Callithrix jacchus: one gene and its partners. The protein of the gene in region 3 purifies or fractionates together with the protein of the main gene of each other region. This does not show direct contact. Links are inferred from orthologs where the notes say so. Each region holds a gene or a part of one and is shown on either strand. Other genes may lie near its edges. The genes, in order: EHMT2, MIER1 and CDYL.

The links.
Region 1: the proteins of CDYL (region 3) and EHMT2 purify together in Homo sapiens (affinity purification with mass spectrometry; 4 studies listed by BioGRID and IntAct, with this or other methods). This does not show direct contact. The link is inferred for Callithrix jacchus from reciprocal best matches to the Homo sapiens genes CDYL and EHMT2.
Region 2: the proteins of CDYL (region 3) and MIER1 purify together in Homo sapiens (co-immunoprecipitation; 3 studies listed by BioGRID and IntAct, counting the BioPlex papers as one, with this or other methods). This does not show direct contact. The link is inferred for Callithrix jacchus from reciprocal best matches to the Homo sapiens genes CDYL and MIER1.

Annotation. Positions count from the first base shown.
Region 1 is NC_133505.1:39,399,126-39,402,782, forward strand, and holds part of EHMT2 (histone-lysine N-methyltransferase EHMT2), read right to left. Parts: intron 1,804-3,657; coding exon 1,719-1,803; intron 1,628-1,718; coding exon 1,587-1,627; intron 1,458-1,586; coding exon 1,302-1,457; intron 1-1,301. UniProt on the Homo sapiens protein: Histone methyltransferase that specifically mono- and dimethylates 'Lys-9' of histone H3 (H3K9me1 and H3K9me2, respectively) in euchromatin.
Region 2 is NC_133508.1:104,196,040-104,198,780, forward strand, and holds the end of MIER1 (mesoderm induction early response protein 1), read left to right. Parts: intron 1-1,530; coding exon 1,531-1,859; 3' UTR 1,860-2,102; downstream 2,103-2,741. UniProt on the Homo sapiens protein: Transcriptional repressor regulating the expression of a number of genes including SP1 target genes. Probably functions through recruitment of HDAC1 a histone deacetylase involved in chromatin silencing.
Region 3 is NC_133505.1:25,590,587-25,594,243, reverse strand, and holds part of CDYL (chromodomain Y-like protein), read left to right. Parts: intron 1-1,868; coding exon 1,869-2,535; intron 2,536-3,657.

The DNA of each region.
Region 1 (3,657 bases), about 14 Mb from region 3:
CGGCAGAGAGAATGTGTCAATCTCCACCCAATCAGCTAACTCCTAAATATGAGAAATTCTGTAGGACAACTGACCTGGTTTCTTCAACGGATAAATGGCAAGACATATATATATATATATATATATATATATATATATATACACACACATATATATATATATATATATATATATACATACACATATATATTTGTTTGTTTGACAGAGTTTTGCTTGTTGCCCAGGCTGGAGTGCAATGGCACAACAGCTCACTGCAACCTCTGCCTCCTGGGTTCAAGTGATTCTCCTGCCTCAGCCTCCTGAGTAGCTGGGATTATAGGCACCTGCCACCATGCCCAGCTCATTTTTGTATTTTTAGTAGAAATGAGTTTTCACCGTGTTGGCCAGGCTGATCTCGAACCCCTGACCTCAGGTGATCCACCTGCCTCCCAAAGTGCTGGGATTATAGGCATGAGCTACTGTACTTGGCCTCCAAATTTTTTTTTAGAAGATGGGGAAACCTAAATACCAAGAGAGACCTAAAACAAGTGTTAATCAATTCAAGGTGTGGGCCTCATTTGGATCTTGACAAAAGCCCATTTATGAGACAGCTGAGGAAATGTGAAGACTGACAGGACATTTGATGGTATTAAGAACTCATTGGTAAGTTTTTTTTTGGTGTGAAAACAGTAGTGCAGTGATGTTGAACAACAAAAAGAGGCCTTATATTTACAGGTACATATGGAAATATGTCTAGGTAAAATGATACAAGGTCTGGAATTTGCTTTAAAATAACCCACTGGGTGTGTGTTGGGAGAGGCACAGATGGGTCAAGACGGGCTGGGTAATGATAATGGCTGGGGCTGTGTGATGGGTCCATGGGTGCTCCCTAGTCCACACTTTTGATTATACTTGCAAGTTTGCATGATAAAACGTTAAATTAAAAAAAGGCAAAACTAGAGAGACTGAACATTATACTGTATAGGCAAACATACAAGATAAAACCAAACAAAGAGCATGGGGATAAACAAATAAATGACAAGATTTTTTTGTTTTCCTTTTTAAATGGTGCATGCCTGTTAAATGGTAATTTCATTAGCTGAAAAAAAAAAAAAAAAAAAAGAATACTAAACCCAATGTGCAGGGGTGGCCGCCTTCGTGGATGGAATGGGCGGAGCATACATTGAAAATGAGTTACAGACAGCGTGGGGCAGTGACTTAGTGGGTGTTCAGAAGATAAAAAGGACAGAAAGGAGAAAAACAGGAAACAAGGAGGACTGGCTAGTGAGCCCCAGCCCCGGGGAAACACAGCTCTGCCTCACCTTGCTGTCAGAGTCCATGCGCTCATCCACAGAGTAAGAATCATAGTAGAGACTGAAGTCATCACCCACCACTGTCTCCCACTCCTCCAGGGACCCGGGGTCCCCTTTTGCCAGGGTCACTTCTCCTGAACGCCGGGCAGAACCTAACTCTTCCGACTAGAAAGATTAGAAAAATTGAGGTCACTGACACCTTGCCCATTTCTCTTGAGGACAGGATGCAGCCCTACTCCTGAGCCTCCCTCGGAGCAGCCCCCCAGAGGGATAGGCCCTGGCTCTGCTGCTCACCAGGCTGCCTCCTGAGTTCAGCTTCCTCCTTTTGGCCACATCTGGAAGAGGAGAGAGAATGGTGTGGGGCCTATAATTGAAACCTTCAGAACAGGCCACATCAAGCCACAGTGGGCAGGGGATGGGACTGACCTGAGGTCACCTTTCCCAGTGAGTGGACGTCATCGCTCATGCGGAAATGCTGTACTTCAGGGGGCCGCTTCTCAGGGACTGGGGGCTGTGGGCCAAGAGGGAGCACACGGAGGGTCAGAGAGCACCTACGGTTAGCCTGGAGCCTAGGCAGGGGTGGGTGAGTAAGCTGCACTTCCAAATGCCATCTCCCCAGAGGAAGAGTGTCAAGCACACTCACACTCGCTTATCTCTGCAACCATGCAGAGCAGGCCCTTTTCCATTTTACAGGTGAGAAAACAAAACTCAACCAAGTTAAAGGCCTTTTATAGGAGGCCATGTACGCAGCAGAACTATTCACAACAGCTGAAGTGCAGAAGCAACACAAGTGCCACTGACAGATGAATGGATAAGCAAAATGTGGCATTTATATACAATTACATATGTGTATAGCATTCAGCCATAAAAAGGAAAGATTATACTTTTTTTTAAGAGACAGAAGAGATCTTGCCATGTTGCCCAGGCTGGTCTTGAACTCCTGGTGTCAAGGGATCCTCCCCAGAAAGTGCAGGATTACAGGAGTCAGTCACTGGGTTTAGCCTTTTAAACATTTTTTTTTCTTGAGACAGAATTTTGCTTGTCACCCAGGCGGGAGTGCAATGGCACAATCTTGGCTCACTGCAACCTCCACCTCCCAGGTTCAAGTGATTCCCCTGCCTCAGCCTCCTGAGTAGTTGGGACCACAGGCGTGTGCCACCACGCCTGGATAATTTTGTATTTTAGTAGAGACAGGGTTTCACAGTGTTGGCCAGGATTGTCTTGATCTCCCGACCTTGTGATCTGCCCACCTTGGCCTCCCAAAGTGCTGGGATTTCAGGAGTGAGCCACCGAGACTGGCCTTAACCATTCTTTTTCTTTTTTTGAGACGGAGTCTTGCTGTGTCGCCCAGGCTAGAGTGCAGTGGAGGGATCTCGGCTAACTGAAACCTCCGCCTCCCGGGTTCAAGTGATTTTCCTGCCTCACCACTCCCCCACCCCCGTAGCTGCGATTACGGTGCCTGCCACTGCACCTGGATAATTTTGGTATTTTTAGTAGAGATAGGGTTTCACCATGTTGGCCAGGCTCGTCTCGAACTCCTGACCTCGTGATCCACCTGCCTCAGACTCCCAAAGTGCTGGGATTACAGGTGTGAGCCACTGTGCCAGCCTTAAACTTTTTTTTAAACTTCTTTTAGAGATGGGGTCTCGCTATGTTGTCCAGGTGAAAGGAAAGAAATTCTAACATGCTACAGTATAGATAAACCTTGAGGACATTATGCTAAGTGAAATAAGCAAGTCACAAAAACATAAATGCTGTATGATTGCCAGGTGCGGTGTTTCCTGACCTCAGGTGATCCTCCTGCTTCAGCCTCCCAAAGAGCTGGGATTACAGGGGTGAGCCACTGTGCCCGGCTAAAAATGTTTTTTAGATGGTAAATTTTATGTGACACTAGTTCCCTCTTATCCAGTTTTTCAGAAGTGATGTAGTGTATTGTTAGAAATGTGCTATTTTTTTTTTTTTGAGTCTCTCTCTGTTGCCCAGGCTGGAGTAGTATGATCTTGGCTCACTGCAATCTCCGCCTCTCGGGTTCAAGAGATTCTCACGAGATTACAGGTGCACACCACCAAACCCGGCTAATTTTCTATTTTTTGTTTTTAGTAGAGATGGGGTTGACCAGGCTCTTCTCTGAACTCCTGACCTCAGGTGATCGCTGGCTTCCGCCTCTGAAAGTGTTGAGATTACAGGCAAGCCACGCCTGGCCTATTGTTATGATTATGCTAGTTTATCATTATTGTTGTTAATCTCTCACTCTAACTCATTTATAAATTTTTCTCTATTATTTACAAAATGAACTGCAACTATAAAAATTAAAGTTTACCATAGTGAGAAAAGAAAAGTAGCTCATAGCAATCTGTACTATGTG
Region 2 (2,741 bases), on a different chromosome or scaffold from region 3:
GCTTTTCCTGTTTGTTCTTAACATATTAACACTAAATAAATCATTTTCTTTTCCTTTTTAAAAAACTTTGATGAGAACATGCTTCTTTAGGATAGTGTTCCTAAGTTACTATCCTAAATTACTATAAATTACTCGTAGCTCAAAAGCCACTCACATTATGTACAGTCAAGACTGCCAGCTTTTTCAAAGAAAGGAAGGAACTTTCCATCCCAATATTATAGTACTTTTTTATATGGGATTTTAATTAGTACTTTGAAATCTTACAATTATTTGTGACCTAATCACAGTCTCAGCTAGCTTTTTGGACTTGATCCTACAGAATTGTTCTCTTCAATATCTTATGATGCATAATCCCCATGTGCATTCATGATTTGAGTGCATTTTTGAGTTGATCAAAATATTTTGTTTGATCAAAATACAATATTTGAGGCTCATCCTTTATGTTGAATATTTTTCAGGCAATTAAATTGTAATTATTCAGTGATGATGCATCCTATATTTTACTTCGTATCACTAAAATTTCCATTCATTTTACAGTCAACTCTAAAGTGAACTTTTCTGTTTTATTACAATAATTTTGCTTTTACTTTTCTCCTCTATTGTAGAAGAATTTGTTTTACTTTTAGCACTTTCAAGTATATGCTTGGATAGGGCAACATTAGCTTTTTAACATTATGACAGATATATTTAAGTCTACTTAGGTAAATAGTGTGTGATCTTTTTTTTTTTGAAATGGAGTCTTGCTCTGTTGCCCAGGCTGGAGTGCAGTGTTACCATTTTGGCTTACTGCAACCTCCGTCTCCCAGGTTCAAGCAATTCTTCTGCCTCAGCCTCCTGAGTAGCTGGGACTACAGGCCTGTTCCACCACGCCCGGCTAATTTTTGTATTTTTAGTAGAGGTGAGGTTTCACCATATTGGCCAGGCTGATCTTGAACTCCTGACCTCGTGAGCCACCATGCCTGGTTGTATGTGATGTTTTAAAAGCACAGTTCCCAGAGATTTACATTAAGAATAAAGTCATCATATCTTGCCTTTATATGGTAGCTTACTCAAGCTTTTATAAGAAAGGATATTCATTTTGCTTTTTACATAGTTTCAGAATGTTGAAAACCTTTTGTTAAATCTGAGTAATTTATTGCATTTTTCATTGTTAATTCAGCTTATTTAGATTTCTGGATCCAGTGCTTATTTGCTGTCACATATACCTAAAATGCTTTTAATATATGCCAAATTCTCTTCTTAGTTCTTTACATTTATGAACTTATTTAATTTTCACAACAACCCTGTGTGGAATTTCTATTATGATCTTCATTGTATATATGTAATGAAATGGAGGTAGAGAAAGAGTAAATAATTTGCCTAAGGTCACATAACTAATAAGTAATAGAGCAAGAATTCAGACTGTATATATATATTTGATACCTTGCTTACTTGATAACAATAGCAATTTTACAGTAAGCTGTTTTACAGTAGTTTGCAAATTTAGCTTTTTTGTAATTGTGGTTTCATTTTATGTTTCTTTCAACTTAGGAGTGTCATCTAATGGACCAGGTGAAATATTAAACAAAGAAGAAGTAAAAGTTGAAGGGTTACACATTAATGGACCAACAGGTGGAAATAAGAAACCACTTCATGGAGATATGGATACTAATGGTTATGAAACAGATAACCTTACCACTGACCCAAAACTTGCCCATATGACTGCAAGAAATGAAAACGATTTTGATGAAAAAAGTGAGAGACCTGCCAAAAGGCGAAGGGTAAACAGCAGTGGAAAAGAAAGTCCAGGTTCTTCTGAATTTTTCCAAGAAGCAGTCTCACATGGGAAATTTGAAGAACTTGAAAACACAGATGACTAAATTTTAGACCTATTTTACTTTCTTTGGAGTAAATTCTGGTGTGACTAAAATTTTCAGGGTTGATGGGTTACCTTAAAAAGTTGAATTTCTTGAAGCAGTTTGTTAAAATTTGGAAATTTGAATTGAGTCTTAACTTTAGGAAATGAGGTTTCATAATTCTGCCTTTTGCAGATTTTTTTTACTTTAAAGCTGTCAGACTCTTTTAAGGATATTTTAAAAATTAGTAAATTTGAGTGAACTAAAGATATATCTGCACCTTCTCATTTGATGTATTAATCATAAAATTTCACTACGAGGTAATTTTTGCTTAGTTTGATGGAGGAATGGGAAAAAACTCAAGTCCAAATTTCTGCTTAACACCAGTTTCTCTGAGTTTCTTGAAATGTCTTGTCTTTATAACAGACATTTTTCTTGCCATACAGTTTGAGTATCATTATTAAGGAAACCCTTATGAATCCTGAAAATTATGCTAGCATGATTTTTTTATATATAGAAGTTTAAAAATAAACCAGGTCAGGTTTGTATATGTAAAATTGTTGACATCAATGATGTCTTTCCATATTCTTATCTGGGCTTAAGAAATACATTCTGTATTTTTCCAGATTCTTTGTAGCCTTTGAAAGATTTTTACAGTACATATGTCTTGACTGAGCTGTCCTTTCTTAATACAAAAGCTTGTATAATTTTCTTAACTTGTACAGTTGGTAAACTTTTATGAGAGGAATTGTTATTCTGAGTCTGTCAGCTTTCATTTTATTTTGCTAAGGTTTTTCTAATGATTTTTTAAGTGTTTGTGTAGTAATTAAGTCATATTTCTTATCCAGGTGGTAAAAGCATTCATAAAAGATTATAAAAATTTGTTTTTGTTTTTGTTTTTCAAAT
Region 3 (3,657 bases):
ACCTAAAAATGGAGCACACACCTACCCATACCTGTGGAGGCTACTGTTCCTCTTCCTCTTTGCTCAGTTTCCTAGGAGGGAGGGGCAGAATCTCCTGGGGACCTGGCAGCTGCAGATTCCCCAGGGGATGCTGGCCCTGGGGAATCCAGTGGGACATGGTTAAGAAGGGAATGGAAAGAAATGCACTGTGTTCCACCAGGCTCCTGCCTCAGCTCTAAGGAAACTGAGGAAAGCAAACAGGAGTATACTCTAGTAGACTGCCCGCTTCTGGAGTGGAAATGGATTTAAGGTGGGTTGGGCAGAGGAGGGGGGAACATGAAACATAGCTTTCCTGTAAGACATAATCTCTTCTCCTCTTTTTATTGAAAACTCTTAAACTGTTTCTGCAAAAACATCATTTACATGGACTTTTCCAGAAATAGGTCTTTTAAATTGAAATACACCCTTATACACAACTATTCACAAGTGAAGGAGCAGAGGAAAAATCACTTTCAGAAGCCTTCCCTGCTATGATATGGACTGTGTGGACTTGCACTTGCTGACCTGACATTAATTACTGACTCTGTGGAGATCTGTCAGACATGAAATTGGCCCTATGATGAGCTAAGGTCTTGCTGTTCCTAATACTTTTTTGCTCCGAAGCAATAATATATATTTAATTTTAGGCTGTTCAGTAGTTAAGGGCTTCTATTTTCTGTATCTGAGGTAGATACACTGGAGAGTTTTTTGTTTCTTTGAGAGTAAATGATGGGGATGGGGTATTCTCCTGTTGCCCACAATTGCCTGCACTTCTACTCATTAGGCTCCAGTATTGGGGGATGGATGTTAGAGAACCAGGCATGCCATTGTGTATCTGACCTACCTCTGCCTCTAACATCAATGTACCGATGTTCTTAATAATTGATGGGCTCAGACCTTTGCGTTCTTAATTAAAGAGCTGCTATGTGGCTGTAGGCCTCTGCCCACAAGATACAGAGTCACATGCTGCTGCCGGGAAGCGAGCTGATGCTTTTGTATTAACTTCTGATGTAACAACAGATTCTAGGTATTTCTCCAATAACATATGGAGACACTGTGTCAGATAATTCTTGTCCATGTGAGTTGTGGAAGATCTCTCTTCCATTTACACTTAGGATGTTAAGGTAGAATAATTTGTCACAGTGATAAAACATGGTTACAAGGCAGGGTGGTGTGAATTGATAACTTTGATCCAGAATGTATTGGTCATCCATTTCAGCAATTGACAGCATCTCCACTGAAAGATGTTAGTGTAAAATTAATTAAAACTAAGATTTCAAAATAACCTGATTGCTCTAGACTGTTTTATTACAATCAAGTATGATGTTCTCTGTTGACCTTTTTGGTTTTAATTGAGTGCTTCTGAATGATGCTTTGATACAGATCATATGTTTCTTTGATGGCGGTTTCACCCACAGAAGGTTCTCAGACTCTTGTAGCTCTTTGCCGTCACCACTCCAGGCCTTGCTTGGGGTCCCTGCTGCTGGTACCCTGGGGATGACCAGGCACAGCTGCAGATGCCCCAGGCTGCTCTAGCCATGAGTATGGAAACCAACTCAGTGGTCAGCCTTGTACACAGACATAACAGAGAGCCCCTTTCAGTCACAAAAACATAAGTCACCTAATGCATAGCCACACGTCTCAGCATAAAATTTTAGCATCTTGTTAGACTTACTTTCAGGGAAATTGCTCATACCCCAAATGGCCTATTACTATTTTATTGGGGTTGGAGAAGAGATCATTTTTATAATCTATTATAGTTTTTGCTATTTTTGATGTTCTTAATTACATTTGTACTTTTCTCAAAAAATTTTGATTTTTTTAAACTATTTTTTTTCTTTTATAAACAGGTTGAAAGGATTGTTGACAAAAGGAAAAATAAAAAAGGGAAGACAGAGTATTTGGTTCGGTGGAAAGGCTATGACAGCGAAGATGACACTTGGGAGCCGGAGCAGCACCTCGTCAACTGTGAGGAATACATCCATGATTTCAACAGACGCCACACGGAGAAGCAGAAAGAGAGCACGTTGACCAGAACAAACAGGACCTCTCCCAACAATGCTAGGAAACAAATCTCCAGATCCACCAACAGCAACTTTTCTAAGACCTCTTCTAAGGCACTTGTGATTGGGAAAGACCATGAATCCAAAAACAGCCAGCTGTTTGCTGCCAGCCAGAAGTTCAGGAAGAACACAGCTCCATCTCTCTCCAGCCGGAAGAACATGGACCTAGCAAAGTCAGGTATCAAGATCCTCGTGCCTAAGAGCCCCATTAAGAGCAGGACCACAGTGGATGGCTTTCAGAGTGAGAGCCCCGAGAAACTGGACCCCGTCGAGCAGGGTCAGGAGGACACGGTGGCGCCTGAAGTGGCAGCGGAAAAGCCAGTCGGAGCTTTATTGGGCCCCGGTGCTGAGCGGGCCAGGATGGGGAGCAGGCCCCGGATACACCCGCTAGTGCCTCAGGTGCCCGGCCCGGTGACTGCAGCCATGGCCACAGGCTTAGCTGTTAATGGGAAAGGTGAGTGTCTGGGGAGCTGCCTGGAGCTCTGCGGCGATCCCAAAGGGTGTGGGTCCTTCTCTAGAGATCAGGCCCTGAGCTATGGAGATTCCCACAGCGTCTGCTGGAGGCTTGCAGAGATGTTGCCAGCTTCTCCTTTCTTCACTTGAAGCCTTTGGCATTTCTCTTAAATCAGCACTAGGTGTCTCATTCTGTTGCGCCATCCACAGACTGCTACCACACTGACTTGCTTTAAACATATCTCCCTCTAACTAGGTTAGGTGGGTAACTTTACAGCACGTTTCTGGAGCTGTCTGCCTTTCTTCACCTCTTAGGTGGTGAGTCTAGTCTCTTCTCCTTTGCAGCGTTTTCTTCTAAGTGCGGCCAGCCTTGATTCAGAAGTGCTGGTTCTTGTTTTGCTCATCCATTTGAATTAGCAGGAATGCCTTTCAGTGAAGGCATTGCTAACCCAGTGGGACCTGTAGGAGCTGGGCTCGTTTATGGGATGATTGGCAGTGTGGTTGCCATTGTTTCTCCCATCAGAGCTGAGTCTGCCTGGAACAGGTGGTGTCTTCGGTTTTGCTCTCACACCAGCCCTGCTCCTGGGTTCTGCAGCTGCCTTGGTTGTGCTATGACCTGTCCATCTCCCAGGACAGCACAACTGGGAGTTCACACAGGTGGCTCCTTTGCACTTGCCATGCTGTGCCAGCCACAGTTGTTAATTCTCTTACACAGATTTCTCCCAGCCAGGCCCTGGCCCTGCCTCACTTGAAGTCCTCATGACTTCGCACCTGCTGGAGCTTTCTAATAGAGCTTCCTGCTTCCTGCCTTCTTACAGCTCCCATACATTTTCAGTCATTCTCAGACAAGGGTGGTGCTCTTGGCACCCCCACCCCCAGTTGGCCTTCAGTAGCAGGTGTGCCCTGCATGTCTGTGACCCAGCCCTCCCCTGCCCTCTGGCTCCCTCTTTCTGTCAGCACCAGGGCCGCACACTTCCTTTGTCTCCAGCTGCTCAGGGGCCCCCTGCCACGTGGCCCTCTCCTCTCTCTTCCTTCTGCATTATAGTCTTAAAATTGTCTCTTTAGCCAGTGCGGTGGCTCACCCCTATAATTTCAGTGCTTTGGGAGGCTGAGGTGGGTGGAA